Linked DNA regions of Styela clava. The protein of the gene in region 1 interacts with the protein of each later gene in a pairwise test. Links are inferred from orthologs where the notes say so. Each region holds a gene or a part of one and is shown on either strand. Other genes may lie near its edges. The genes, in order: proteasome subunit alpha type-7-like and trafficking protein particle complex subunit 13-like.

The links.
Region 2: the proteins of proteasome subunit alpha type-7-like (region 1) and trafficking protein particle complex subunit 13-like interact in a two-hybrid assay, tested with the Caenorhabditis elegans proteins (3 studies listed by BioGRID). The link is inferred for Styela clava from reciprocal best matches to the Caenorhabditis elegans genes pas-4 and C56C10.7.

What each region holds. Positions count from the first base shown.
Region 1 is NC_135262.1:13,589,709-13,606,183, reverse strand, and holds the start of proteasome subunit alpha type-7-like, read left to right. Parts: upstream 1-8,481; 5' UTR 8,482-8,497; intron 8,498-16,475. Other genes in the region: P-selectin-like, read left to right, coding at 1-24, 359-456, 723-807, 1,099-1,199, 1,294-1,372, 2,291-2,382, 2,462-2,549, 2,913-3,007 and 6 more. UniProt on the Caenorhabditis elegans protein: The proteasome is a multicatalytic proteinase complex which is characterized by its ability to cleave peptides with Arg, Phe, Tyr, Leu, and Glu adjacent to the leaving group at neutral or slightly basic pH.
Region 2 is NC_135251.1:30,090,152-30,105,516, forward strand, and holds trafficking protein particle complex subunit 13-like, read right to left. Parts: upstream 7,959-15,365; 5' UTR 7,793-7,958; coding exon 7,762-7,792; intron 6,668-7,761; coding exon 6,560-6,667; intron 6,350-6,559; coding exon 6,234-6,349; intron 5,992-6,233; coding exon 5,867-5,991; intron 5,668-5,866; coding exon 5,553-5,667; intron 5,371-5,552; coding exon 5,243-5,370; intron 4,997-5,242; coding exon 4,807-4,996; intron 4,512-4,806; coding exon 4,411-4,511; intron 4,070-4,410; coding exon 3,922-4,069; intron 3,847-3,921; exon of another isoform or gene 3,757-3,846; coding exon 3,661-3,756; 3' UTR 3,599-3,660; downstream 1-3,598. Other genes in the region: histone chaperone ASF1B-like, read left to right, coding at 2,080-2,188, 2,693-2,808, 3,005-3,181, 3,307-3,594.

The DNA.
Region 1 (16,475 bases):
CATTGAATTCGATACAGCTTGCGTGTAGGTTCAATTTTCGTGTTAAACTGCGTTTTTGATAAAAAAAAATATCGCAAATGACAGTTCCCAATGTAATATGATTTCCTGTTATTCATTTTAATTTCTTCTGTTTCTATTTCAATGATTTTATTTAAAACCGCATAATATGCAATTTTTATTAAACAAATCCATTAGAAGTAAGCAGCTGAAATGAGAAACTATGTTGGATGCCAATTGAAGTTTGCACAGGGTAATGGATAAATCTTGAGATTATTTACACACATACTTGACCTCATTAAATCATTACGATTATAAACCTAATATTGGAAATATTGTTAAAAACGTCTTTTGTTTCTAGTTTTTCCTGTCCTTTGGGTAAAGCAAAAATATCGGGTGATGTTATAAGATTTTGTCAAGCAGATGGGCAATGGTCTGGAATCATGCCAGTTTGTGGAGGTGAGTTTTATACCATCCGCTTAAAATATAATATACAAGAAATCATTTCCAAAACAGTGCAGTTAAAGTTTATGATATCATTATTTATATTTGAACTTTATACGGTCATTATATTAAACGTTTTATTTTTAGCCGAACTTAATTTGATCGAGACCAAACATTTTTATTGATCAGATATTTATGGATGAGAAAATATATAAATTGTTTCTGCTTTCAATTTTTCCCCCCACCATTATTCCCACCATATATATATGCTTTTTATTCAGCTCTAATGTGCTCGTTGCTAACTTTTCCTGCTGGATCCGTTGTTTGCAATCCATCGGACTCAATTGTTTACGGCACTGTATGCAGGTAACGGGAAAATATTTTACTATGTAAATGCCTTCGATACGGGTGCTTTTCAAACTTGTTTGAAGATCTAAATCATTCTTGTTGCTCTGCTTTCTACATGTTCGTTTGCGCCATAGTTTTAATATTCAGATGTGAGGTTGCGCATGTCAATTTACTTTTTTTTTTTTTTTATTGATAAAAGAGTCTTTAAATTTACCTATTTTAGTAACTGCAAATATTTGCATTTGAATTTTCTTTATTTTTGAAAATGATATTATTCTTAATGGTATGTCAATTTCTTTATTTTTGTAGTTTTGAGTGCCCTTCTGGTTACGAGCCTGACGTACAAGGATTGACAATGACTTGTGAGGCGGATCAAGATTGGTCTGGAAGTATGCCAACGTCATGTCAACGTAAGAATCCATTTTCATAAACCTATAATTAAATTGAATATCATTGATATCATCTACGTTTCCATGATCTAACTAAACTACGTTGTTTTTTCAGCTGTTGACTGCGGATCGTATCCAGATGTTCTAAACGGGCAGTCTATGTGTGATGGTACAACATATCAAAAAACATGCTTGTGAGTCTAACTAGTTATTCATTTTTTTGGTACTCTCGTAGTATGTGAACCAAGATGGCGGACAGCGGAACGTGGTATGTGAATACCAGGTGAGGATTGGGCTATAATTCTAGGTACAAATACTACGGGAGAGACTTGGCTAGTCCCCGAACTCGTAATAGAACTAAAATTAGAATAAAATTATGGCCTAACCTGGTACACATACAAGTTCCGGTGTCCGCCATCTTGGTTCACATACTACTGGAGTACCATTTTTATTTATTTTTTTGAGATAAACCAATACCAATTCAGTCACGTCAGAAATAACAGCCCAGTATTTATTGTCATATTCTTCCCTCTCATCTTCGTTTTGGAAGAACTATCTTTCTAGATGGTAGTTTTCACATATCGTCGTCAAGAAGCAAAAAGTTGTTCTTGTTCACGCCAACTCAGTCTCAGGTAGACAACAAAATTCAAAATGCGGTGTGCCCTACCGGCATAAACGTCAATTACGATATCTGCTATAAAAAAACTCCGATTCTGTAATATCAACGGTAGCGGCATTATAATACTTTCAAAGGTGGAATAATAATTCATTTTTTGCTTTAACACAAATTAAAACAAGGACAATTCTTGTTAATCAAATAAAAAATCGACGACAACTATTGAAACGGCGTGACAAAAATGATGTTTACCAAGTGTACGTCTGAATCATTTCTGCTACGCTATACGTAGTGGTACTCATAGATCAAATGTTGCTCGCGAGCGACACTGATATATAGTGGTAGTCATTTCAGGGACACACAGTGTTCGATTGCCATATATGAAACTGGAACAACTCATAGTTGTTTAGTTCATGCAACTTGGCGATAGCCTAATTATGGTACGATACATAACAATACATTGAAATTATTTATTCCATGAGTTGTATGCTTTCAGCGCCATCTGCAATTTGGGTTACAAAGTGAAAAATGCGCAATCCCAGTGCATGGCTGATGGACAGTGGGGTGTTCCTGCTCTCGAATGTTCAAGTGAGTAGTTATATCACCAGGTACAAAACAATTGAATTATCTCGTCAAGAAAATTGTTAAACATAGTTTCGTATTTCAGGAATTATTTGTTCCGACCTTGATTTCAACAATCAACCTGGAAAAATGACTTGCAATCCTCCCGGTTTCGGTTACCCGAGTACTTGCAGGTATTTTTTCAATTGAGTCAAAGGTTTTGAATACTGAAATAGTAATACTCTAATACAATTCTGGTGCTAGTGTAGAAATAGTAATATAACTTAAGTCTTATAATCGGGATTCATCGCCTCGTAGGATAACAATTTAGCAATCAAAAATGTAATCAGCGACTCCCCATGCTTCTTGCTCAGTCACATGTGGCTAGGCCGAAAATTTCGACAAACCCACAATGCATTTTCTGCATGAAAGTGATTCAAATATATAAAACTTAAATTTGAAATTAGGAGCGACTTACTAAAATTGTTGAATACAATCAGGGAATCGTAATTCAAACGCGCCAGGTTCTTGTTATTTCGAATTATGCCTTGTTTCAGTTTCATATGCTTCGATGGCTACGAATTGAAGGGATCAGAAACATTAACTTGCCAAAAAGATGCAATGTGGGATGATATTGAACCAACATGTTTAGGTAAAATGGTGTATGCTTTTTGGGGTGAGATGTCGTATATAGATGTGTCGACTATCGATATTTTGCTTCTGGCTATATATTGACTTTGTGTAATATAACAAATAAATCTTGTATTTAGACGTCTACTGCCCAGCATTATCGTTAGAAGGTGGGATTGTTGATTGTTCAGACGAATGGGAGTATTCAAGTGAATGCACGTCAGTATATATGTTTCGATTTACTTATGGGAAGATAGTTTTTATTTTTGCATGTTACATTCTACTGAATTTACTTACTATTCCGAAGAGGCGTTAAAACATTTTGCCAAATATCGCATTTATATGTTCAGTTTCAAATGCAATTTTCCTTTGACACTTTACGGAGAAGATGAAATAACATGTCGGGCTAATGGACGATGGTCAAGTCCAGTTCCAGAATGCAAACGTAAGTCCTTCTGTTATTGAGTACAATTTGAAATAAAAGTACTTTTTCAACAGGGTATGAAAGATTACACATACAAAATTTTTTATTTATATTCTATCGGATATATCACCATAATTTGCAATTAATAGACTCAATTGTCATCCTATTTCAATTGTCAATTAATGTCAACTTGCATGACGACACGACTCATTAAAAACACTCAATATTTTATTTTATCAAATATTATCCGCTAATAACAGATGCTAGAGTTTCTATTTGACATTCGATTAATGAAATCTATAAACATATCTGTCTAGTTGATATTGACATATTCATTGCTTTTTAGTTTTCGATCCAAAATGTGACGATGCTATGGCACCAATAATTTGCGTGGATAATTGTGAAACAAATTCTGATTGCGAAGAATCGGAAGTTTGTTGTAAGAGTCCATGCGGACTAACATGTAAAAAAATTAAGGACGATCCTAAAAAGCCATTGCTAAGTGAGTAAAAATAATTTTGTAGCAGTTGGTGCAATCGATGGAAGATTTCTGAACATCAAATCAAATTTTCAAAACACCACAACCATGTATTTCACAATGCGTTTAAAATGTTTTAATATTAGTTTATAAGATGTTTATTCTTTTAAATTTAACATAAAATTAATACAACATATATTTCAAACCTCATTTTATATCATTTAAAATCATTTCAGATCTGAATAAAAGAACAGTCCTTGCTCTTTTGCTTGCCGGTGCAAACAGACAACCGCGTCCGGTATATAGGCCTGTATGTCCAAGTTGTTACGTTAACGCATGTATCAGAACAAGTTGTCCAACGTTTCTCAATGCGGTGTGCAGAACAAGTTGTAATGGATGTAAAAAACATTTCTTTAATCCATCCAATCTCAGACAGGATATTGCAAGCCAATGTTAGTATTTTTATTTTCCAAATATCTTTATCGTATTGGATTATTCATGATTTTTCTTTTGTCATTTGCATTTATTTATTTTGCGGTCTACCATGGAACATTTTATATGATTCTTTACATGAACATTGATTGCATTACTGAAATCAGTCCACCTTTTTGTGTAGAAATTCTGAAACAATAATGCTCTATCAAACAAAATATATTTCAAGTTTATAATTTCCTCATGTTTTTTTTCTGTAATACTCAGGTGATTGTCCACCGAATAGTCCACCAAACCCAAGGTGTGGTGGATATATGTGCAACGGAGTTGGATGTGCAAACTTCCCACAAGCTGAGTGTCGTGTGTACGGTTGTGGGCCAATATGCTATTTGCAGTTTTTCGATAGATTTGGACGAAGAGTACCATGCAAAAGACAAGGTAGTTAAAATGCACTCCGTATTCTAAGTTTTTTTCAAATCTTAGTTTTTTATTCATATCATCTGAATAATAGAACCTTGTTTCATTAGAGAGCAGCGGTAAATTTGAAAAATACATTTGAATACAAAAATACATTTACATTAACCTGGAACTATTATATTATATTCGTATTCGTGGTAACACAAGGTTTGGTGATTTCAATGTCAGAAATCTCAAAATCAACTCTTTTGACATCATTATTTCGAGAAAAAACACAAATTTCGGATAAAAAAATAATTTTTATTAATGGCTTGTCCAGAAATAGCAAGATATAAATATTTCTTTCTTAGATCATATTATACCTATTTTTTTGCAATATAATAATGTTCAAAGATGATATTTAAAATATGAAGATCTACCTCAAATACTGCTTGCATCAAAACAGATGCAGAGTAATTGTTAATACATATTACGAAGTATTTTTATTTTTATTCTAGCAACTTGTCAGCCTGGAATAAACTTGATTGACCGTTGTAGCAGAGGATGCCTTGGTACTACTTGTCCAAAATATCCTGGAGCTCATTGTCGAGTTCCGTGTCCGGGATGTCCAGCACATTTCTACAATCAGAAAACGAATCAACCTATTCTTGATTGTGTGTAAAATTATAAAATTACTTTAAACACAAAACTATCCAACAATGCTGATGAATGCAAAATATATTAACGGATTTGGGTTCTTATCCATTCATCATACAATCTTCGAATTATGTGTAAAATAACATTAGCTACTATTTTGCTAAATCGTTGTTGTTAGTCTTGTTGTTGTTAAGAAAAATTTTTTTAGGAAAAATCTAACCTAATTCTTGCAAACTAACATAGCTGTTTTCAATGCAGTGTGAACGTTTTGTCATTTTTATGTTTTACAACTTTGAGTTGCAATAGATTTATCACAAACAGATTAGAAAAATTAAGGTGCCCCTGAGGTATGCGCACCAAGATGTCGCACGACCTGAACCCTCACCTGGTACACAACCTGAGTTCAGGTTTTGCGCCATCTTGGTGCGCATACTTCAGGAGGTCCAAAATTGAAATACAAGCGAATATGTAAATAGATAAATCACATTTATAAGAATAATTTTGTGAGTAATCATTGTTTAAAATTGATGTTTTAACATAAAATGAACGTTAACGTGGTACGCGAAAAAAAAACTAACCAAACTATCAAATTTTGTGTTTTACGATAATACACCAATATATCAATTTTACCTTTCCTCATATTCAAGAATCTAGAATATAATTCAAATCGAAAAAGCAAGTAGGATTTTGGATATTTCTGAGTTGTTTTCAAATAATTATTGATTGCTTGTATGATCTTAACATTGGCGACATATGAAAAAATATAATATTGAGGAAGAAATGCTTATAAAAAATCAGATTGTCTACACTGCCTTAACATCTGGAGCGTTGTTTTTGTTGGATCATGAACCTCTTGTAGGCTATCTCCTGCCCAATTCTATTGAACGTGTGCTATTGTTTGGCTTTCAGGTTGAAGCCAAATCATGCGTGAGCAACAATGTTTTTGCGATTCTACGATTTGGCACGACGATGATTGTATGAAATGTGCTTATTTTTGTAATATTTTAGGGTAAAATTATATAGGGTAACAAGCTTCACTAACCGAATGAGGTACTTCAAGAATGTTCACAACATAACGTAGTAAACGATGACGTCTAGCGGCACTTAAAAATACAGTATTTCTTACTTTTTCAATCAATAACATAATCATTCATCTTCACCGTGAGCTTCATAAAATCGAATCTGCAGCCTATTCAAACCTTTTTCAAGTTTGTATATGTGTAAGCGATGCATTTATTTCTACCTTGAGTTCAAGTGGAGACAAAATTGCTGAAGCACGAGACGAGAATTAATAATTGATTTTGTGTTTACAGCCTGTTTAACTTTTATATTCAAAACGTTCAACTGCTTCATTCACTTAAACTTGCCCACGCTCCACAGCGACTTCATGTCTCGGTCTCGCTCTCTCTTTCAGAACGGCCTGTTTCTGTTGAGGGTAGGGTTGAGGTATTTTCAGGCAAACTGTAACACAGTTACCGGTACTGCTAGTTTAAGAGATAGGCCTACTGCTTTTGGGGAAAAACTATAATTTAGACAATGGGTAAACGTAAGCACGAGTTCCGTTACGAATATAAAGAAGAATTTGCTATTCTGTCAGACAAAGTCGAAAGAGTAAGAGCTATGCCCACTATGACAGCTATATCAACCTAGAGGTGGGGTAACAGCAATTAGTGCCCACAATACTACGGCAAAACACAACAATTTTGCACTAAGGATTGCGGGAAACCAAGGTATGAAGACTTTTTTTTTACAAGCAGAACGTTTCCAACTAAAGTAGACCACAAGGGTATCGACTTCCGAGGGTGCTTGGGCACCAGCAATCATTTCTTTCCAACAATTGACCATGCAACTCATCAAAACGATCTTGCCTGATTCAGACATTGTTAAAAATTTGCAAGTGCTAGAACAAAGTCTACGGCCAATAGTGATTACATGTCCACTGGAACCGGTCTAGCAGACTTCAAAAGAAATACCTCACGCTGCAGTGGTTCGCGCGAAATTTCAAATTCAACCTTTCGGTCCATAACATTGGACCACTTATCTAGGAGGTCTGAAACTGATCTGTATCGCTCTTGCTCAGTTACTTTGTCGTGCTATTCGATAAATCGTTGTTACTCACGTTGATCGAAGGGCTACGGACGTTGTTTTCTTTTTCATTTCTGGTAAGTGAGTTGCTTATTTCAACAAATTAAAATTCAGCTAGACAATGGTACGTTCAATTTAAAGCCTTACATCTGTGACGACCCTTGTTTTATCTGTTAAATGATGTCATTTGATGTTGTTTCCATATTTGGTATTTTGGCACTGAAGACACTGGGTGCGCTGTAACACTGTCGATCGTTCTTTTGGGTAGCAAATTGTAATAGCTAGTTTAATGTACCGGATTCTAGGGGTCATTTGGCTTCTAATCAGAGTGTCTTTGATTTCAGGGTCCGTCAGTGTTTTTTTAATGTGTATATGGTTTTTCCTGCATTGTGCTGGCTGGTATTGTTATTGGACACATTTAGTGGACATAACGATCGTTTCAATATTATGTTGTTATTGTTATTATTTGTCTCCATCATTTTTAAAAAATCGCTTTTCTCTTCGAATACTGGACCAATTGCTTTGAAATTTTCAGTGAGTAAAGATTGATTTTTTTGCCAGAAGGCTATTTATTTATTTCTAAATTTCGCATGAAATCTGATATTTCGTCTAAAATTTCGCTGTATTATTTTATCCATGGGAACACTGGCTGTCCGGGTTGATTCTGTAAATTATTTCTACGCGAAACTCGGAATTTTTTGTGGGTACCGGTGGCGACAAAGGTGGTGACCGTACATTTGAACCCACGTACATTTGAACCCATGTGTATATTCGCGAGTTCAATCTATATGCAGGTTCTAAAACCCATGGGTTAGGGTTGGTATGGATTCAAATATCCACAAAACAAAAAATAATTTCCATAGGTGCAATAGTATGCAGGTGCAATTGTCGTGGGTTCAAATGTACGTGGGTTCAAATGTACGGGAACCGTCAAAGGTAAATACTGCTTCGCTCTGGTTAACGTGTCCATATATTTGAGCACAGCTCTCTTGTTTTTATTATATGCTTTCCGTTGCTTTGTAGTATTTGGTTGTATTAAGATCGATAATTAATAAATGAATAAAATAGCATAAATTGAAGTGAATATTGAGGGAAAATTGACGTCAGATCATATTGGAAGATATTCTGACTTGGATAATTATTCCATAGACTGCCGGTACGCTACACATCTATTGTGTAGATGTTGGACACAAATTTGAAATACTGGTACTGGTAGGATTCCGGTTTGACGTAATGGCATGATAGGTTGTTGATTAGTAACAGAAAATAAAATCTTAATATCCAAGTATTTCCTGGTATAAACTGGGCACAGTGCGAGAACTGTAGTTTGCATTGACTAATTTTACTATCCGTTGATGCGTCCAACCACAACGAAGTGAATTTTTTTTTCTTTGGTTATCAGCTCTAAAGTTGAAGTTAGGGTGCGTATTCTCTTATGAGGACTCGAAACAGATAATGAACTTTATTCCTTCTTTCTTGAGGCTAGCAATTCTGCACCTAATCAGTAAACAGTTCTTCCTACTCACACGCTAACGCGGGGGACTACATTAGACAATGTGGTTGTAAAAATTATAGATCTTTAGGAACCATTCAAACATCATTTTTTGTCTTTAAAAAGATCCGCCGCGAAGAATTATTTAAATCAAAACAGTCGCTGGTTATTATATATTTTCTTTACAGAGCTTTATTGGTCGTCAAGAAGCCACTATTACTAATTCGAAACAACAGTGCATTATTTACTCAACTGGCTGATATAATTGATTCGTTGAAGGGCGCAATCTCGCAGCGTTGGAGTATTATGGAGCAACAATAGCTGAATATTGAAAGTGGTAGAGAAGGACCATGCCGATGCTGAAATGCTAAAATCAAGGTTTCAAGAGTTTTACACAATCACTATGAATTAGTGATAGTTCAATAGTTTTCCATGTTTTTGTTTACAGTAATCATTACTGTCATGTTATTATGTCATTGCATGCTCCATTGGTCACTTGTACAAATAGTGTTCATTCAGTTGTAAAAGGACAGTCTGTTCCTGATGCTATATTGAGCATGTGCTCCATCTGAGGGTTGTTTACTTTAATAATAAACTTTTATTTGACTTATCAATGGTAGCAGAGGCTTAAAAATGACTTCTGTTAATGGGTACAAGAACCCTCCCGAGTTTATGAGCAGTGCAGTAATGAAATAGCAATATGGAAACTTGTGACACATTTGGATGCAGGCAAGCAGTCACTTGCAGTAACACTTTGTCTAAAAGGGAAAGCAAGGAGTGCTGCCCTTGAAATATGCGCTACTGACTTGAATAAAGAAGAGGGGATGGAAACTTTTTTCAATAAACTGGATGGTGCTTTCAAAAGAGACAGTGTAGATCGAGCCTATGGAGCATACCGTGTTCTTGAAACACTTGAAAGATGTTCAGATCAAAGCATTCAAGATTATATTGTGAAGTTTGAACATTTATATAACGAGGTGAGGAAACATGACATGCAGTTACCAAACTCCATTCAAGCCTACAAACGACTTGAGAGTGCTGCTCTTTCTCAACAAGAACGTCAGCTCATATTGACAGCATCTAGTAAACTTGAATATAACATCGTTAAAGCTTCCTTACGGAGAATATTTGGAAGTACTTTTAATAAAGTTAATACTGTGGTTGCTGTAAAGACTGAGCCAACTGTGTTGCAGAACTAAGCAGTACATCAAAGAAAATGACACCAAACAATAATCGAAGAAAAAGACGCAGAGAAAGAGGCACAAACCCCAGAAGAAGAGATGGCACAATTACAAAATGTGTTATTTGTGGTTCAAGCTTTCACTGGGTCAGAGATTGCCCACACAAAGATAAGGCCAGAATTACTGAAGAAAAAGATGATGTGAGTACAACTTTTATAGCAAAATATGTCGATTTTGATGTCTTTGTTGCCAATAATGTGGGATGTGTAATCATTGACACTGCATGTAGCAGGACGGTATGTGGTGCTAAATGGTTATCTAATTATATCAACAGGCTCACCCCCCACATGATAAAGAAAGTGAAATATTTGAACAGTGATGCATCACTCGTATTTGGTGATGGGGAAAATTGTCAAAAAAGCATTGTACAAAGTGATATTACCGGTTGAAATAACTGATATTTTTCGTAACATTGCATGTGAAGTTACAAAACAAAGCTACCTCATCTTCTTGGTAAAACATCCTCAAAAGAAGCAAAAACGATTATTGATTTGGGTATAACTGAGATGTTTGGAAAACCAGTCAAATCACTTGCAGGCGCAAAAAGTCACTATTATGTTAATCTCTTGCCCAGGGGAGAAAAGAATTTATCTAAAGATGGTCCACATACAATTTTGGCGATCAATGCAAACTTGTCTAAGAAAAGATTTGTTCACACTACACAAGCAATTTGGCCATGCATCGTATGATAAATTAAAATCTTTTTTGATTAATTCTGGGGTATCGGAAAAACATGTTTTTGGGGTTTTGAGAGAGGTATATGACGTGTGCACGAGAAGAACAAAATCCCCTCCAAGACCAGTAGTAGAACTTCCAATGGCTAGAGATTTCAATGACAGTGTTGCATTGGATTTGCATGAGATTGTATCAGGTTTGTGGTATTTTCATGTTATTGATATGTTTTCTCGTTTATCAGCAGCATGTGTTATTCGCACAAAATCGACCATTACCATTGTTTGAAAATTCATGACCACATGGATTGGTGTTTATGGTGCTCCTCCAAATGTTCAAAGTGAAAATGGGGGTGAATTTAACAGTGCAGAATTTCGAGATATGGCAGCATGTTTTGGTATTGAAGTTAGTACTGCGCCTGCTCAAAGTCCATGGAGCAATGGGATGGTAGAAAGACATAATCACACATTGACCGAGATTTTGCTAAAGATCAAAAACAGCGAACGGGTAGATGGGAAACTGCCCTTAGCTGGGCATTGTCAGCCAAAAAATCACTTCATAATGTATATGGATAGTCCATATCAACTCGTGTTTGACAAAAATCCCCACTAACCATCTGTTATGATTGATAAAATACCTGCAATACAGAATAAGCAAATGAGTCAAATTCTATCTGACATCAATTTCATACATGTTGCAAGACGGGCTTTCCGTTGAAGCATAAAGCAGTGAACGTATCCGACGTGCTTTGCGGAAACAGGTGAGATGTTTTGAAGAAGATTTAGGTGATAAAGTGTATTATAAAAGGGAAGATTCATTGAAATGAAAGGACCTGGGCATGATATTGGTTGTGATTAATCTTTGGGTTTCGTACGACATGGAGCTATAGTTGTAAGAGTACGCAGATGCAGATTAATAAAAGTTTGTGAACAAATTTATTGTGATTTACAACAATCGAATCCTGATAATACAAAATTTTTGCCTAAGTATTATGACAAACTGAGAACCTGACTCTAGCACACCAAACAATTACCTACATGATGATGAGACTAACATGGATAACCAAAATTCTATCCTAGAATAACCGATAATAAATCTGTTGTGAATTTCAAGAAGGGACAGATGGTGCGTTTCTTCATTCCTGATGATGAATCCATGCAAGAAGCAGAAATTCTGGGACGTGCTGGAAAAGTCACGGGAAAATATAAGAACTAGTATAATGTTAAAGTGTTCAAGCCCGATGTTAAAGCAGGTCAAAATTCTTCCTTTGATTTTGATAAAGTACAGAATTTATTTGTTATATCTGAACAAGTCCCAACTGAAGTCGTGGATGAAGCTGAAAATGGGGTATTAAATAGTAATTCTCCTCGAAGGAGAATCTTTAATAACGTCATATATTTTCTTATTAGAAGCAAAGCATAAGGTGCTTGATAGTTGGAAAAAAATCAGGTATATAATGAAGGGCAAAAACTTTGTCCACCAGATGGGTATGTACTCTTAAAAATACACCTGATGGTATAATCTCCAAAGCAAGACTGGTGATTTGTGGTATCGGAGATGAATGTTCAAATGAAATACCAAAAAAAAGCAAGCATCACAGAAAGCGATCGTAAATCGATGAGATCACTGATTCGACAAATTCTATGGACCGCGAATCAGACAAGACCAGACTTAGCATTTGAAGCATCGGCTATGCTTCCAACACTACCACAAGCCAAAGTCAGAGATATTATTTCCCTGAACAAAGTTGTACGTCAACTGAAATCTCAGTCTGTGAACTTAAGATTTAATTATCTGGGTTCAGATGTAGGCTTACCATACGTCCCGGTTTAGCCGGGACAGTCCCGGATTTGACAAGCTGTCCCAGCGTACCGGCCGGTTCACTCAAATGTCCCGGTTTGTCAGCACGGCTGTCAAGGTTAAAATATTCATATATATATTCATTATTAATACAAATTTTTTTTAACGTTGGCAGCCCATTTACCACTGTTTTGCGACACACTTCGCTAGTTCAGAGAAAGTGAAATTGCTCTATTGTTATGTCACAATTGGTATATGTTTTAATGCGTTTTCTGGCGTTATTACAATACCGTTAAGTTGTCGAAATGCCATAAAGAAAGTACAAATTTTCTAATGAGTTGAAGAAAGATTTTCCTTATCTGAAGCAAACTGAAGGAAGAAAGGTACACTGTACGCGTTGCAGATCTGTTTTTCTGTTAGTCATGACGGTCGTTCAGATTTCAACGATCATATCCAAAGCAGGAAGCACAAAACACTAATTGAGGCATCGACTCGACCGACCAATTTCTTTGCGATAACAAATTCGGATGATTCTGTGTCGTTGGCAGCCGACATTTACCTATCACACTGCTATTCATGACCAAAGTTTTAACTGCACCTCTAAATTGATTTCAAATTTTTTTAGCCTAAGTTTGCATTAACTTGTAAATAAACATAGTTAGAATTTCTGATGTCCGCTGTCTGATAAGAGGATTCACTGATTTTGCACGTTTACCCAGAAATAAATGAGAGTCGGTGATTTTTAATTGCATTGCTCCGCTGTTCTCCTCTGAACCCAATGATGATTTACTTTAAACCAGTTTTCAGTAACCCTCGATGCCTCAAACAGAAAAGATATAGGGCTTGTTCCAGTTGTGGTTCGTTAATTTTTACCTGATGTTGGTGTGAAGATAAAACTATTAGAATTCAAATCTCTACCCGGGGAAACCGCCAAAACTTTTACTGGATACTTGCTCTCTGTTCTCGATCAAAGTCATTTAAAGGGAAAAGTTGTTGGATTCTGTGCGGATAACTGCAACATCAACTTTGGAGGCGTAAAAAGACGAAAAACAAATAATGCTTTTTTTTCAAACTAAAAGAAATATAACCGGTATAGATTGTGCGGCTCATGTAGTTCAATACTGCACTGCGATACCCTTTTCAACATGCCGTAGATACTTTGCCTATTTGTGTTGTTGTCAAAATGTATAAATATTTTTACATTTACACTGTCCGAGTAACAGAGCAGAAACCATTCTGCGATTTTGTTGATATTGAATATCAACGGCTGTTACAGCATGGCAACACTCGGTTTCTCTCTTTATTACCTGCTTTGCAAAGGATTACGGAAATGTTTGAAAGCTTGATAAGTTACGCAAATTCTCAAAAAGCATGTCATTACTCTTATGCTAAAATGTTCCAGCGTACGAACTTCACTTGAAATTTGGCCTTTGCCAGCTCACCTACTTCAACAAAATATTTTAATTTTGGAAAAAGATAATAGTAATGCCGTAGATCAGGGGTCGGCAACCTACGGCCCCTGGGCCGCATCCGGCCCGCAGAGTATTATAATCCGGCCCGTGACGCTTCACTGAATTATAGTAACAAAACAGCCGTTTTGGCGATTATATATTTTAAATTATATTATAACCTAACATGTATATAATTCACAATTATTCGTTTAATGAGCCTACAATTTAATTATAATTAGACAAATGGCAACAAAACGCAGAAAAGTTTATGCTAAGTGCAAAGAGTTCAATGGCGCTGAAAATATTCAAATGGAATTTTTTGAGATGCAATGAGGAAATAAATCTATATTCTATTCGAGAGATGTATCACTGCTTAATTTTTATTATAAAAGGAATAATCCGTTCGGTTTCAACTTTCTAAAGATATGTGCGGCCCGCCAATGACTCGCAACCCTTAATTTTGGCCCGCGTGCGACAAAAGGTTGCCGACCCCTGCAGTGGATGTTGCAAATTATCATGTCAGAGTTGAAGATAAATTTGCAGGAAAAAGGGTGAAGTCTGTTAATTCAGTCGCAATCACTTGTACTTCTGAAATCCTTGGAACGTTCTGGCGAAATCGACGTAACTGATTTCAAAAAGGATGTTTGCGATTTTTACGAGAAATGTCTATCGTATATAAGGCTACATGATGAAGCCTACAATGCTGTCCCCACATATGGACAAATTTGAAGGGTGAGATAAACTGAACTAAAGTGTTTGGTCTGCAAAATTGATAAATGATATGTTCGGTTAGCTGGTCAGGTTTTGGATAGCGATGCACTTTTCGACGAATGCTGATAAAGAGATATTTATCTGAGCATGGTTCAAATGCAATTTGGCTTACTTTGCGGTTGAATTTAAGTGGACAGAGATGTTAACCTTTTTTTCTAACAGAAATATTAGCATTTCGAATTTGCAGAAACTCGTTGATTTTGTTTGCCGGAACATCGGCATCTGTTGAACGGATTTTCTCCCTTAGTAAAATTTTTTGGTCTGGAAGCAGGTTCAGAATGCCAGAAGAAAATATAAAAGCACTCGTAACCTGCAAATTTGATGGTGATGTCTCTTGTTATCAGTTTTATGACAAAATCAAAACAAGAATTTTTGAGAAGGGTTCCATCTGCGAACAAACCCAGTTGGTCTGAATAAATAATACAAACTAGTTTTTTTCTAATTCAATGATCAGTAGAGATTTACAGCTGTATATACCCGCAATGGCATGGTAGACGTTTCAATATTACAAAGACTGGCAATCGACCGAATGTTTGCCAATTCGCACCGTCCCGGTTTTTTGTTTCAGATTTATGGTAAGCCTATTCAGATGACATCAGACTTATGGTGTATAGTTATGCGTCAATTGGTAACCTGAGGGATGGAAGTACACATGGAGGTCACATCGTTTTTCCTGCTGGAAAAGATGGAAGCATTTCTCCATTAGACTGGCAAGAAAGTTCGATGAGTTGTTCGGAGCACTCTCGCAGACGAAACATTGTCATTGTCTGATACTATGGACAATGTAATAGAATTAGCCACCCTCTACACATGGCTAATGCGAGACTCTACAAAGCCTAATATTCCTAGTGAATGTTTCCTTGACAGCAAATCTTATTGTGAAGCACTCCGATCCAACAAGACTGTTACGGAAAAAAGACTGAGAGTTGAAATCAGTAGCCAGGAGCACATGGTAGAACTTGGCAAATTTCAAAGATTCACAAATGCTCCTCAAACAACTCGCAGATTGTCTGACGAAAAGAGGATGCTCATCTTTAAATCTGATCAAGACATTCACACATGCCATGCCCACAGTCTGTCCTTGATGCTATGTTGAGCATGTGTTCTATCTGTTTGAGTTATTTACTTCAATAATAAACTTTTATTCGACTTATCAGTTGACAGGTGGTATCGATCAGAAGAGCATCCAGGTACATTAGACCGGACATTGCTGAGAACTTGAAAAGTGAAATAAAATAAGTATTAGAAATGGCGAAACAAATTAATCCCCATAACGCGATGGCACGTGAGTTATTTGACGAGGTCTCAGCTCTCAACGGCCTACTTACCGCTCATATACAAGCTAGAATCGCCTATTCCTGTTAACAACGCCCTTGGGGAGCAGTTATTGTCCATTTTTATCAGCGCAATGGAACAATGAAAGAAACCTCCAGTTTTTCTTAACCTGGGTTCGATCGAACCACTTGGCTTCGGTGGAGCTGTTCTAGGGGTTCTATCAAGGCCCTCTTGAAATAATTTCACGCAATGAAGTCTTTTCATTACCCAGCTTTTTACTTATGTAAGAATAACTATATTCCACCGCAGATATTCA
Region 2 (15,365 bases), on another chromosome or scaffold:
CGCATTTCTCTTAATTTCTATCGTATCAGTTTGCAAAACCTCCATCATTTGTTTACAACAATTGACCTTCTTGAGTGCGCGCTGCTATTGTGCAATAACATAGGTTTATTCATGTACGTTTTACTGATCATCCCAATTTATCTCACATTATTATGTCCGCAGATTGCCGTGATATTTTATTGTAATGGTTTTATTTTGTCGTAAGTCGACGCAACCGCGAATTACGTTGGGTACAATTAAATTATTGAAGAACGACATTTTGAATTCTGGTAGTTGTCATGAATTGAATATCACGCGACAGAAAAAGTCATTGAACGCCGAAAACGTTTGATCGCAGCGACCTTTTCAGAAGCCATTGCATGGGAATTCCCGATTCCAGCATCTTGTGTCTCAGAGCACCAAACTGTAGTGAACCTTGAACTCCAGAAAGTTGATAATTGGCTCAGAGCAAATAAATTATCCCCGAATTATTCCAAAACAAAATCTATGTTGTTCTATATATAATATAAAACACCTTGTTACCAATTTTAGAGTAGGCGTTGGCAAATGGCAATAATACAATTTAACAAACTAAAATCATTAAATATTTGAGAGTCACAATTAATTGGGAAATGAGTTGGAAACCACATACAGCCCAGTTATTCAAGAAATTATCGCAAACTCTTGGAATATTTTACAGATTAAGGCACTCCAAAACACTTAATTAGTATATATATTTCAGTTTATTTTACTCTCGTTTACAATATGGCTTACTTAGTTGGGGTTCAGCATCAAGGTCTTCCTTACAGTCAATACAAATTCTGCGCAAGTTTTAGGATGAATGGCATTCGCAGAGAAAAGTCGTGTAACTAATTTGCAGCTTAACTATCAGTATGAAATCCTACAGCTGTCGGATATAGTGCTTAGTCTTTAAGGACTATTTCACCCCATTACAAAAAGCACCGTACAAGGTCTCAAATAAACGAAGATTATTTTACTCCGCAAGTGTCCACTGAGGTGAAAGAACGTCTTTGAAGTATATGAGTGTATAGGCTTGGGGCAATGTTCCATCTGAAACCCAATAAAGTTATCCGCATGTTTTCAATAGGAAACTGAAATTTTTTTCCACTGAAAAAGGCTTACCCAAATTTGTCTACTTAATTAATACTTTAATTATATTAATATGCTTTTATAGTAAATGTGCCGAACCTTGTATTATAATACTATAAATTCAACTGCTTCGCATATTAAAACTGTATATTGAACGTCTTAATCCTCTTCCAACTTTTGTTATAAGTATAATTGAATGGTTTTTTTTTCGTCTTTTTTGACACATAACGATGTTTATTATTATTGTTTAATTCGAAAGCCATTGATAATAATACCTCCTATCTTTTTAATATTGTTAATCTGATTGCCTCGTTATTTTTCTCTTATATTTGAGTCGGTAGCTACTTGTCCAACAATATTTAATTCCAAAAACTAAATTAACAACCTATTATAAATATTTGTAAAATTTGAACTAAGCTCTTGATAATTGTCGAGACTCCAAAACTTCACGTGCCCAATTAACATCACGACTTGCATTATTAACTTTAATATATTTTATTGCTGCCTCAGTATATATTTACGCTACTATTTAGATGTACTGGTATAAGCGTTGGATTTCACTTTAGCGCCACTGGTGCACATCTGGGGACAATGAATGAATCTGAGGACGCTCGTTGTTGCCAGTTTATTATATTTTATCTTTTGTTAAAATCAACCAAATAAGAAATATTAGTTAAGTATGAATTGTGTATATTAAAGTTACATTTAGAATTGTGACATTAATAATATTGAATTTCAAAGAACTGAGGAAATAGATAAATTATATATTTTCATTGATCTCTTTGATCATAATATGTATTCGAAGTTGGCAACATTATGTATCAATATTATTTTCGTTTTTCCCGCGTTACGATTTCCCGTTTAGAGATTCCGCTCTGGCGACAGTCCAGTCAGCTGTGCTTATTCCGCCGCTTTCCTTTCCAGTTTATTTTAAAGTTGTTGTTCTCATTTCACAAGCCTTGATATTGAAACGACGCATGCAATTGAACGATGGCTAAAGTTCAAATTGTGAACGTGGAGGTATTAGATAATCCATCGTTGTTTTTCAATCCTTTCCAATTTCAAATAACTTTCGATTGCATTGAAAATCTTTCTGATGGTGAGTATAAAACGTAGGTCTAATGTTTGATATTACTGTACCATGTACAGATGGATAACAATATTATTATTGCAAATGGCTGTATGATCTCGCTCTACTGCCAAATTGTCAATAACATATGGCTGTATGGTATCAGTCGATGATTGGCAAGTTAGCGCACCTTGCAACCCTCAGACAATGTTTAACTCAAAATTTTGTGCATGCAGTCCAGGGATTGCTGAACTCGTTTTGTCATGGCTTTTGCAGGGTAGTAGGATAAGTTTTAAAAGACTCCTAGTGCTGTAGTGCAATAAGTCACTAGCACTACGGTACTATACAAATATTTTCTGCTTTCTATCACTGTTTGATGGTTTTGAAATTACCTGTTACGTCTGAACATATACTGCAGTACTGGCAGACTGGTATAAGAGGATAAGCTCCAACAAAAAAGTAGCCGGGAATTATTAAACAGGCTGCTCGGAGTGAAAGCTTCCTGATATATTTTCTTAATATTTCTATTCATAGATTTGGAGTGGAAAATCATATATGTGGGATCTGCTGAAAGTGAACAACATGACCAAGAGTTGGATTCTGTGCTAGTTGGTCCAGTCCCTAGCGGACGGCATAAGTTTGTTTTCCAGGTTTGCTATATATGTTATATACTAATATGATCGCTAGGTGAAATTAAAACATCCATCCACTAAAGAACATTGCCACATGTGAAGAGAAATGTCAATTTGAGCTAGTTTATAGAACTATTAAAATGTTACTTACTACTATTATATGGTTACTGAATTAGGGAGCTACCTTTTGCTAACATTAACTAATTTTTACCAGGCCGATCCTCCAAAAACTGAATTGATACCAGTGCAGGATGCTGTGGGTGTGACGGTTGTAATAATAACATGTACTTATCACACTAAGGAATTTATTCGAGTTGGTTACTACGTAAACAATGAATATGATGACTTGGAGCTCCGAGAAAATCCCCCTGAGAGCCCAGACTTTAGCAAGGTAAGATTTCATCAACGGTCGTTGACGACATTCTGAGCATTGTTTCTCACTGTATATTCGAACAACGCTAATGAGTAATATGCCATATTTCAATAGTAATAAATATATATTTTTTCTTTCGCCAGCTCACAAGGAATATACTAGACAGCAAGCCCAGAGTAACAAGATTTAAAATAAACTGGGACAATAATGATGAAGAACTTGTCGCTGATGAGAATATTCCTCCGGATACAGACTTTGCTAACAGTTTAAATCACGATAATTCATCTGCATTATCGAGCTGCAATTCCAAAGCACCATTCGGACAGATATCAGGCAATGTGGCTGGCGAAGTTACGAGTAATGACAAATTTTGTAATCCCCCGTATGAAAATAGTACGGACTCCATGGACATGCGGATGTTTGTAGAATGAATCAAGTATATTGCACATTATTCCTTTCAATCGGGAGGTCGCTGCATGAAGAATCTAGATGGAGGATCATTTTGCGACCGCATGGACAAGAATGTGATGAATGTAGTCAAACTCGTATGTCCTGTCAATTTCTATGTCCGTTATCCGCAAGCCCGACACACCCTGTATAATAATTAGTTTTGATATATTAACGATTTTCTATTTTTCTTTTGAAAGCACAAGATACTGTTGTAATAAAGTTACCATTCATTAGTCGCTCTGCTATTTCGTAACAGGACTTGTGTATTGGCAGTAATTGCAAAGTTTATTATTTACTGTTGCACATACCAGTAATCCTGGTGTTATAGGAAGTAGATCAAAATCGACCGAGGTCGAACACTTTGGTTCCAATTTCTTCAAATTAAATCCAGATATTCCCTTCCACAAAATATTTGTTTGATTCTCAAACGATACTGATAAATTTTTTGGTCTTTCACTGGGAATAGAAGTAAAACATCAGATATAAAAACTAGCTCAGGAGGCTATTATCCTCAGTAGTAACAAATTTGTTATGTTGTTATAACAAATTTTGATATTACTGACTATATCATTGCGACAAATGATGAAAAGTTCGTTATTGAAGTCAATTTTCACTGAACAACAACGGTGTTTTGGATATAAAGAACCAAAGAATGCAATTTTGACTTAGGATCTGTAATACCTCTTGGTGGTTCATCTATGACTATATGTGATGATCATATTGAAAATTAACATAACATACAGTAAATATGTCCAGTCGTGTGTAATTTTATAATAACAATTACAACATCAACTTACCTGCAATTAGTTACTTGACATGACATTTTGAATGAATCCATTGCCACAACTTCACTTGGCACACTCTTCACATCTATCCTTATGTCAGAGTGGCTAATAGGCTGAAATGAAATCAGCATGTGAAGAATGAGACATATGTTATTTTACACCAAAATAGGAGGCTCCTTTTCTGAACTTGTTGTACCGTGGATTTGATTAAATATATCTCTTTTTTATTATTAATATTTAAAATTGAGGAAATAGCTAGGAGTTGTAAAAGATGGTGCATCGACCAGCACAGCTTAAAGAAAACTGCTCTTGGTCCTCCTAACCATGTATTATCGACTGAGCATTCTCACTTTCTAATTATTCATAAAACTTCCTAAATTTGTTTTGTACATGTTCAACAAATCTCACCGGTCTTTGAAGTTGACTAGTTTGAAGTCTTCCTCTTTCGCCAAGTGCAGTCTTCCATACAATGTCAAGCTTGCCAATCGCTGATGGTGCCTTGTCAAAAGCTTTGGATATGCTACCAGGTTTCATAATGAGTTGATATAAATATTGCCTTGTGTCCTTCGGCTTGAGGTATGGTTGACTCTCATAGGTGCTGAAATATATGATAATTGCCATGTTGCAAGGGATTTTTAGAAGCGAGGTGATTAATTCAACTCTTCATAAGTATTCAATAATGAAAATATTGGGATTGAGGAAAAAACTTTTACCGAACCCTATAAAACACAGGGAACCATGACATGTTTTATGTTCCCCAGCTGAAAAGCACTGTGATATACATAATTTACATATCACATCAAATAAGCCCAGAAAGTTGTTGGCACAGAAAAAAAAATCTTACCTTTGATCGTCAATGGTGTTGAGAGGCATTGTAGTATAAAGAGATGATGGTTCAAAACTAACTTTCTCAATACACATTGCACTGTTTGTAATGTTCTGGATTTGAGCTTCAAGGAAAACTTCATGAGGCTAGCAATAAAATTTCAATAACAATATCAGTTTTAATCTTGGTGAATTTTCTGTAATAGCTCAAATTCTTTTTATAGTACCAATGGAAGTTTTGGACATAATTAATCACTTTTAATTGAACAATATACACATCACTTCTGCTATATTTTTATGAAACTAATATAAAAATATTATATTCAAACCTCAGTATTATAAAATTTTGTTTTGACATCCAATGGCTTCAATACTTGAAACTTGAAGAATTTTCGGAAAAAATTTTGCACACCTGCATTTTTATATGAAACACTGCAAACCAATCTGAAATAAATAGGATTTCATAATTCATCAGCATCAAATGATGTGTTTCGTTTAAATTCTTTTTCCATCTCTGTATATATTTCCTTTTTTGTACAAAAAAACAATCAACTATAGTACCAGAATCTCAGCAAATCCGTGAAATAAACTAAGTGTGTGTGGTATTTCAATATAGGGAATTAAATTCACAAAATTCCAGTACATGTGAGTTCCAAGCTCCTTTACTTCATGTCTCATGACATCATCAATGGAATTTTCAGGCGATAAAACGTCTCGTGAGGCAGGCTGCGTTAAGCTAATTCTCTGCGAGCCAGTTTGCAGATCTGCCTATAAAAAAACAACGATCAATTTGAATATTATCACAATTCAAATATTACTGAACAATGAACATCTTCGGAAAAATTCAAAACTATTGCCTTGAATTTTTGTAGTAAAGGGAGTACTTTAATTGAGGCAATATTATAATTCAGGTGAATTTTTTTGCTGCATACAATTCTCAAGGCAGATGGTTACTCCCTTTATTAATATATGAAGCCCTTAGGGTTATAAATGTATAATATATAAAAAACCTTGACAACGACATCTGTTGCTTCCTGTGTACTATCATTATGTACACTGATGTAACTGACGAATGTTTCACCCAGAAAAATATTTCCAAAGCTTTGTGGAAGTGACAACAGTTGTTCTGAAACAAAATTGCACTTGATGTGAATAATAGTTGACATTAAATAAATTTGCCTGGACGAAGCAAATGCACATCTACACAATGAGCCACTGACTGCCAAGAGTAAATAATATTGTTGACTGGCCTTTAAACAATGTACTATGCAACAAGAAAGATATTCCAGGGAGGAAGAAATAAATTTGCATAGAATATCAAATCAAGCATGCTTACCTGTGCATAATCCAGATCCCAAATCTCCAATCTTGTTTGATGAATTTGTATCTTCAACATGTGATAGTGAGATAGGCATCAACATTGAAGGTTTTGTCAACCTCATAACTGAAACATAACAAAATTTGACACATGATGAATTTCATAACAATAAATGAAAAATAGATAATAAAATGTAGCCACCTGAATTGGCTACTTTTTCTCAACTGTAAAGCCAACCCATGAGTGCCGCAAAACATGTCACATATTAGTTACTTAGAGATAATGAAGCTGAATACCTCGTCCAAAAGAAACAAATTTTGCACACAATACCAGAATATTATAAGTTTATACACGGCAAGTAAAAAAAGATCAGAAACCCTCTAGCTGGTTAAATTTCAAGAGATTGTGAGATTACACAGCTTATTTCTGTAGTTGGAGAAGCATTGAAAATTTTGTATTGATTGAAGGATTAAAGAAAGAATGCTTATATAGCTGTACAACTGGCGGCGGTGTGGCTCAACGGGCTAAGCGCTAGGAATCACTCGCCACCGCACCTCTAATTACAGAATTACTCTGCGTGGGTTCGCAGGTTCGAATCCCATGCGGGGATGTTTATGTGCGAGAGGATTGCTGGACTCCTCGCCGTCGTTGGGTGGTTCACATAACCGCTGGTCGGTTACGGCTACCTCCACCAGCAAGTCCATGCTTCCGAAAACGAACAATATAACTAATCCCATACCAGACTTGGAATGGTAACCGGACGAGAGGCCATGGTTCGCCATATGGATAAGCCGTCTTATCGGCGTTCCTCTTCCCCGAGATAAATATGTAAACCCTAACTGTATATTGGGTAACACTTTCGCTGTTGGATGTTTATGAGACTGCTAGTCATGTATGGCTGTACAGGTAAACTCGAGTATGATTAGATCACATATTGCTGTATTGGTTGACTTATGTACCAAATTATCCCCTGCACGGGATTCGAAACTGTAAACTCATGCATGATAATCTGAGGTGTAGTGGCAAAAAGTGTTGCGGTGCACCACACCGCTGTTCGAGTCAGCAAGTAGACTAGACAAGTTCTACTGCAGTACTGTGTTTCTTATCCTCCTTGCCGAGGCAGCAACAATGCCCTTCTGTCAGTGGAAAGTAACGTGTAACAGTATCTAAACATTTTTGACTACCGATTCATAAAACCAGAAAAGTTCAGTCAACATTACCTCTCAGTGCCAGAATGTGTTCTTTATCCATTGCAACTTATCTGAGATAGGCTATCTCCCATCGGCTAAACGATCTGATTCCAAGTTTGCTACCAAACTGCACACCTTAGAATGAATCAGAGATGGAATTTACCACAGCCAATATGCTGATAAAACACTCAATTTTTTTTTTTTTTTATAGATAAAATAATAATATAAATCATAACATACAGATGAGACAGTATAAATTCCATAACAAATATTGATCACTTGTATCCATATTGTAGCATACCGGTATCCATTGTAAATCCCATTTGTTGTCATCATCAATTATATGTTCCATGATGCCATTTACCATTATTTTAATTAATGCATGAAAAAGAAAATCTTAAGAATTAGTTCCACTTCATTACGATAAACACTTCTAGTCATATTTATATATATTTGCATAATAAATCAAGTTCTTCACAATAATTAGGTAAATTTCTCAGTCCTGTAGTCGTTCTATATTTCTCCTACACTTTATTGAATTTCTTATATTATTGACTACATTATTCACTCTTGGCATTACATTTTCAAAAATCACTCAATTTAACACTCACTCTATTTTATTATTATATAAAACACTCAATTTAACAGAAAGTTGGACTGCTTGGGCCTTCGACATCGATAGTTGGACAACAATCATCTATGGCCACTAGCTATGAACAATTTTTATTTATTAGTTTTTATTAATTATTTTATCATATGTTAGTCGTTGTCTGTTATGCTGATTATAGAGTCGAAATAAACCTATACTTATTATCAGAAGTCTTTCACTTTCAAAAACGGGGTTGATTGAAATCATAATAGAAATGTAGTGAGGCACAAATAAAAATCAGTAGAACATCATATTGTTTTCACGAGTAATCTATATAAGTTAGGCGTTGGGGATATGTTCGCCACCGCGTGGGTACGAATCCTGCGGAGGATAATTATGTGCGAGAGGATTGCTAGTTCACGTAACCTTCCTACAACTCCCTCCGCCATCAAGTTCATGCATTTGCAACAAATATATGACTAACCAATTCCATACTCGACATAGACTGGTAACCAGACAAGAGGCAGTGATTCGCCATATGATTCAGCCGTCTTTAATATGTAAATACTATCCTATCCTACTAGGGTGGAATCCAGATGAAAGCAATTAACAGCATATTCACATGTGCGAAAAAAGTAACGAACATGACAGTCAAGAATGTAGCTTGATTAAAAATCTGAGCAAGTGATTTTCATTATTAAAATTCCTGTTAGAACAAGAGTCCAATTTATCTAATAGGGAATTAAATATTGACGCGAGACTTGAAGCAGTTTATTGTATGTTTTTAAGTTTGTATGTTGGTTTGATGACAGCATATTTGCACCCGTAAACTGCACCCATGACGCACCTGTATTTATATATATTTGCATCTATGAATATTTGCACCCACGTACAATTGCACTAGCGAACATTAGCACCCTCGAACAATTTCATTTATGGACATTTCCACGCATAGACATTTGTAATTGTATCCATGTATAGTTGCACCTGTGCTCATTTTCACCTTTGGATATTTGCACCCGCAGCCATTTTCACGCGCGATTATTCTTGTTTTAGGCAAAGTTATATTTTCTCATTATTAAATATATTTATTAGGAATTAAGACAGATTACATATTGTAATTGCACTCATGGCTACTTTCACAATCTTTTTTCACTGTCACCACGCGTTATAATTCTATCGATACTAAAATATATTGACACGAAAGCAAAAAACGTAATACGGGTATGCAATCTGCCACAATAGACTACGCCACTACGGTACCTGACCACTAAAGAGAAAGCGGATCCGTCACGAGGCAATTTTAAATCCCATAGAGCGCACAGTGAATTTAGGACTAAATAAAAGTAAAAGCCTTCTAGAAAAACATACAACCTTTAACCACCAAAAATTTCAAAAGCACATGGCCCGTAAATGAGAAAAGCGATACTTGCATTTGTCATTTCCTACCCCCCTTGCCTACGTCATTCAAAGAAATATGTCACCGCGACCTCAAAACCACGTCAATACGAGAAGGATATCTTGCTGGCTAGTGAGTTCATTGTCGCAGACGCCAGTGAGCGCGATCGTCGCTATACTTTGACAAGCTCTATTACGTGATTGTGACGTACATATTGTCAAAAAACGGACGGCTTATCGAGTGAACCTATTAAACAAACATCCGGCGTTTTTCTTATCATTTGAAATGAATAATTTTATTATCACCAAAAAAGGAACTTTGCCTCGAATTTCAGTTATTAAAATTTATAAAGTATTTGGTTTTTACAGCAAAAAGCTCAACGTACTTGAATTGTATTTTCTATATACCAATTGTCTTTTAAACTGTCAACTGATCAGTGTTGAAGAGACCCAAGTCAGTGAGTCATTCACGGTTGCCTATGAAAGCCACTATAATTTGTTAACTCGAAAGAGCAGCGATTCGGTATGAGGCTCAGGAGTCTATTTAGTGAATAGACTTGATGTAAAACTGAATTTTTAAAACTTGTTGGGACTCTGACCTCACTCGAGACTCCAATGGCCCTTGAGTGGCGAAACACGACTCGGAGATTGTGGACTTGTACCGGACACTGGAATTGACTCAAGCTTAACTAAACGTTGGGACCCATTTGATTTCAGCAATAATTTAACTACCATGAACAAATTTTATTGTATATCATTTTAATTTTAATCGACACAAAAAATAACTTGTTTTAAAATTCTGAATCCCATCACTAATCCTCTTCCACTTTTGCCTATGGCAGTTATCTTCTTTTAACGAAAAACCGCGAGCGCATTACATCAGATTTACGGTAGCGTCTGATTAGTTGGCCACAAATAAAGTCATTACTTCAGAGTTAGCGTATTGCACAAGAGAAGCGTCAATAAGGGGAAAAACGTAGAGGAAGGTGGGCCTAGGCCAGGGGTGGGCAACCTTTTAAAACAAAAATACACAATAATAAACCTTCTAAACATGTAAGCTACGGACAGATTCACTATTCGGGAAAATATCAGCCCGGCAAATAGATTTGATCACTTTTCTTATTCTATATAAGTGAGATTTCTGCTGCTGCATTACCGTTGCTAAAGATTTACATTGGAATTATATTTTGTAACTTTCAAAGAAATATACGAGAGACTACTGGTTATATTTCTTTCGAAATAAATTTATTTCAGTAAGTTAGCAAATAACTCTAACCAACATGAGCTGTACAACTTCATAAATCAATCAGAAATGAAGAAAAATGGTGTCACAGACTATATATATAACTATATATTACGTAACAATGAACCACCAATGAATGCTGTGTCCCATCACAATTCATCAAGAGCTAACTCATTTGTTACGTCATAATATATTTCTTTGTAGCTATATGTCATGAAAAGACAAAAAGAGTTTAAAATTTTAAATGAATAACAGATTGTTAACAAACGATAATGAATAAACAAACACCGAGTTTCATCAGATAAATCAGAGCCTCGAAACTTTTTATCTGAAAGAGAATGATCTCGTTTCTGAGGCTTCGCTCGCGTGCCGAATAAATGGGTTGCCCACCCCTGGCCTAGGCCCCAGGGGCACAGTGGAAAATCAGCTCTCACACTCATACTATATCCGGAATCCGGTCTGCGGTTGGATGTTTGAATCCGCCCTTCTGTTAGTTACAACGTCTCCGCAAATGGACAACGGCCTTGTGCAGGGGTTCCCAACCTTTTTATCTCAATTTCCCACTTCCAATTAGGCTGAGTTGGTATTTCCCATTAGATATGGACTTGTTTTAAAAAGACTAATTTCCTTGTCAATAATAATTGGTATGTCTTTCTATAATAAAGGCTTGCAATTGGTGTAGAGGTTGAAATCTCGTGAAAATATTTATTCCGCCGTCTAGCATCCCAAGACAGTGACGATCCGTTTAAAGAAAATCAGTGTTATCTATCGAATAGAGAAATTCAACGCTTAAAATTACAAAAAACGCATCAAAGTTTACATTACATTACACCGTTCATATCAATTCTGCTGTTTTTTTTATATGGTAGACCGGAAGTCTATCTTTGAAAATTCGCATTGCTATTGGACAAGGAGATCCGTTCATTTTTGGCGCGCAGACTTACTCGGCAGAATACCATCACACTCCACGAGACAAAGTTTTATTTATGTCCCACCGATGTTATGGAATTTTTGGTTCTTGCTATTCAGAGGACATCTATATTTAGATAAGCCATTACCTTTTATTAACAATTTGGCAGAATGGGGGGACGGGTCAAATATTTGTTCGCCTACCCAATACTTCTGAGACATTTGAATAAAAACTGTTCTTTTTTGCGCCTCTGCGACGAAAATCTTCTTGCGTAATGTTCAAAGCTATTGGTGCTCGTTTGAGGCATGCCTTCGAGGTTGTTATCGGCCGACCAAAGATCAAAATGAGTTGCGTAGCACGATCAGAATATCATGTCCAACAACGTGATATTTTACTAAAGTTTTGATTAATTGAATAGGAATCTTTTTCCGCTTCATGGCATATGTTGTGATTTTCATTGTGTAATATTTAATAATTGTGTTGTTGTGCGTACATTTTGAGAGGAGCATTAAATTTCCCACCTGCAACCTCCAAATTTCCCACTAGTGGGAAATTTCCCACCGGTTGGGAACCACTGTTGTAGAGCGACGCAAGCTATGAAGTGAAATTGGTTTTAGCGGGTTGAAAGTTTGAAACTAAAATTTCACTTTTCCAGTTTTTTCTCTTTTCTGCTATAGCCTTTTCAATATGAAAAACCACCGTCTGATATTTTTCAGATTTAGTCCACTGTACAATAATATTCATAACGTTGACGAGTGAATGTTCGTTACTAATCTCGCCGTGGGACAGTCTGAAAATATTTGTTTCCTATGGGGAACAATAGCCGGGGTTCACTGGGACATGTTTACGGAATTCTTTGAAAAAAATATTTTGGTTGAACATTGATTACAAAAATATTAAATATCGAAATTTGAAGTCCCCCTGTTCTTCGGACGATTATTTACTTATTTTTAAGGGCATACTTCGTTGAATTGAACAGAATGTGCGCCAGGGTTTGTCCGAATGTGCCCAACAAGGTGAAAAGGTGGGACGCTTGACAAAGGTTTTTCAAGGCATGTTGGTGGTAGGATGTGTGTCTCAAGGAAATTTCTTAGTCGCCGAATAAAAACCACATTCACCACGCTCTGTATTAGTCCAGCAAAGTGAAATGAATGTGTAGTAGAATAAACGGCTCAAAATCTGCAACAACAAAAAATGTCCCAACCTTTCAAACTTTTCCCTACATAAGCATAAAACGAGCAACGATCTTGACTTGGTGTAAGCAAGCTTTATGTCGAGCAAGTTGTTTGATCTATTTTTCCCACGTGTTATTTTTACGTCGAAATGATGTCAACTGTTACTTGCTGTTTTTCATTTGGTTAGCGATTTTGACTATACTAGGTTGATGAATGAAAATCTGAGTTCGCATTCATTACAAGTCATAACAATGGGATGTCCGTCTCTCGGCGTCAAATATCAATAAAATATATTTTGCTGCGAATGTACAAGGAATGTTGGTCGGTGCAATCTAAATGAAGGTGCTAATATCTCTTGGTGAAAATATCGGTTGTGCAGAAGTATGCAGGCGCAAACATACGTGGGTGCAGAGTTAATGAAACCGCTGATGGTACCGTTCAGTAATTCTAAGAAAGTCCCTAATTCAAACAACTTGACATTGTTAATTTTGAGTATTAGTCGTTATCTTCACGTGTTTTGAATTGAAATCACTAAATTTGGATCACTTCTTGAAAACATAGTACCAGAACGGTCTCATGATCAAAGATATATTTGTTGTGTTTACAATGGTGAAAATTCCCGCCTGTTTTATATCTAAGTGTTTCACATCTTCAAATTTTATAAAGTAAAATACACCCTCTTAGCCTCCTAACAGGCCGAATGTTAATCTCATGTAATTTGCAGTTCGCGATGTTGGTTGATTAACTGCCAAAGCTTTTTAAAATATTCTTTTAAATTTTGCATGTTATTTTTTTACTGGATGGAAAAAATAAACTTGACCATGACTATCGCTTGGTTTTTGCGCTTTCGCCTACGTAAACCCTATGACCTATCCTATATGGTTGTTTTAGAAGAAATCGGTGCATAGGGGAACATTTAGTTTTAAGTGATCATAGTTTTTTTGTGCTTCTGTCTTTATCAAATATTTATATTATCTTTCCCACGGCATAGCTCCACATATTAAGCTCCCACCTATAACCCACCCCAAATGCGGGAGACAACTGTTCAAATCCAAGGGCTTGCTACTTAGATTTTGTAATGTCATAAAGCTTAGACGCCTACGAAAGGGAGAGATTGGTAAGTCTACATCGTCGAACTTGCCAAATAGGCAGTTTCTATAGTTGACAGAACCGCCCGATCAGTGAAACGGATCTGACTTGGTCATGGAAAAGCAATTAGCAAGATCAGCGGCGCGATATGCGATTAACGCCCATATTTTATTTTAACAGCAATCCCTGAGGCGTTCGGCTCCATTACGCATGCATGGCGAATGTTGTTCGCCGTCTCTCCAGGCCATAATGGTGCGCATGCCTGCGCGATCGATCACTTTTGGTCGCACAAGCTATTGTTCACGTCTGAAGTCGGTTTGTTTTCATTTCGTTGGTCCTGAGGTTGCGATGTATTTCGGAAGCGCTTCTCGGACTTTCTTCGTTTGTCATACCCTGCTGGAATCATTCAGCCTTAGTGATAGACCGCGTCACTGATTTTGAGTAAAGCTGACTATAAGACGACAGAGCAGGTTGGTCGTGAATAGGAAATAAGTATTCAAGGCCTACGCAGTATATTTATAACGTATGCTTGAATATCTAGAAATGTGAATAATGTGCTGAGTAATGTAATCCATTTCCTCATTCTTGTGAGTTCAGGTTGGAATAGCTGATAAGACCAGGCAGACGAAAAGGCAATTGATAAAATAGGACATCATTGGCAATTCGCGTGGCTGTCAGAATAATACATTTAGATACGTTTCATTTCCAATATCGTCATGCAATTTCTAAGCAATGCCCCAACGACTGTGACGGGATAGGGTTCACGAATATTATCAATATTCATTTTACAGCACTGGCATGTATGAGAGATGTATGTTTTAGCATAAAAACATTGTGTTGATAGCCTTTATATAGTTGCATATCGATGATAACCGAGACCGCAATTTTTTAACCTCGTCAGTATGGTATACAGGAATTACAGTTTTCGTATTTAATATGGTCGTGGATATTACCTTCGGGTCTCACAGCCAAGGATGGTGCATGGAAAGCTATACAAAATAACGCGGAGGAAATTGTGTTCAGTATTAACACAATAGAACCGACGAGACAACTTCGTTTCCTCAATTTCCGTAAACATTAATACCAATAATAAAGTCAGTCATGTTTTTGTACGTTCTATTTGTGGGACTTTTTGTGCGTATTTAAAAGCTATTATGCTTTTTAATTGGTATAATTGAAAATCTTTTAAATTTAGCTTTAAATTTTGCTGTTATTATTTGCGGAGAACAA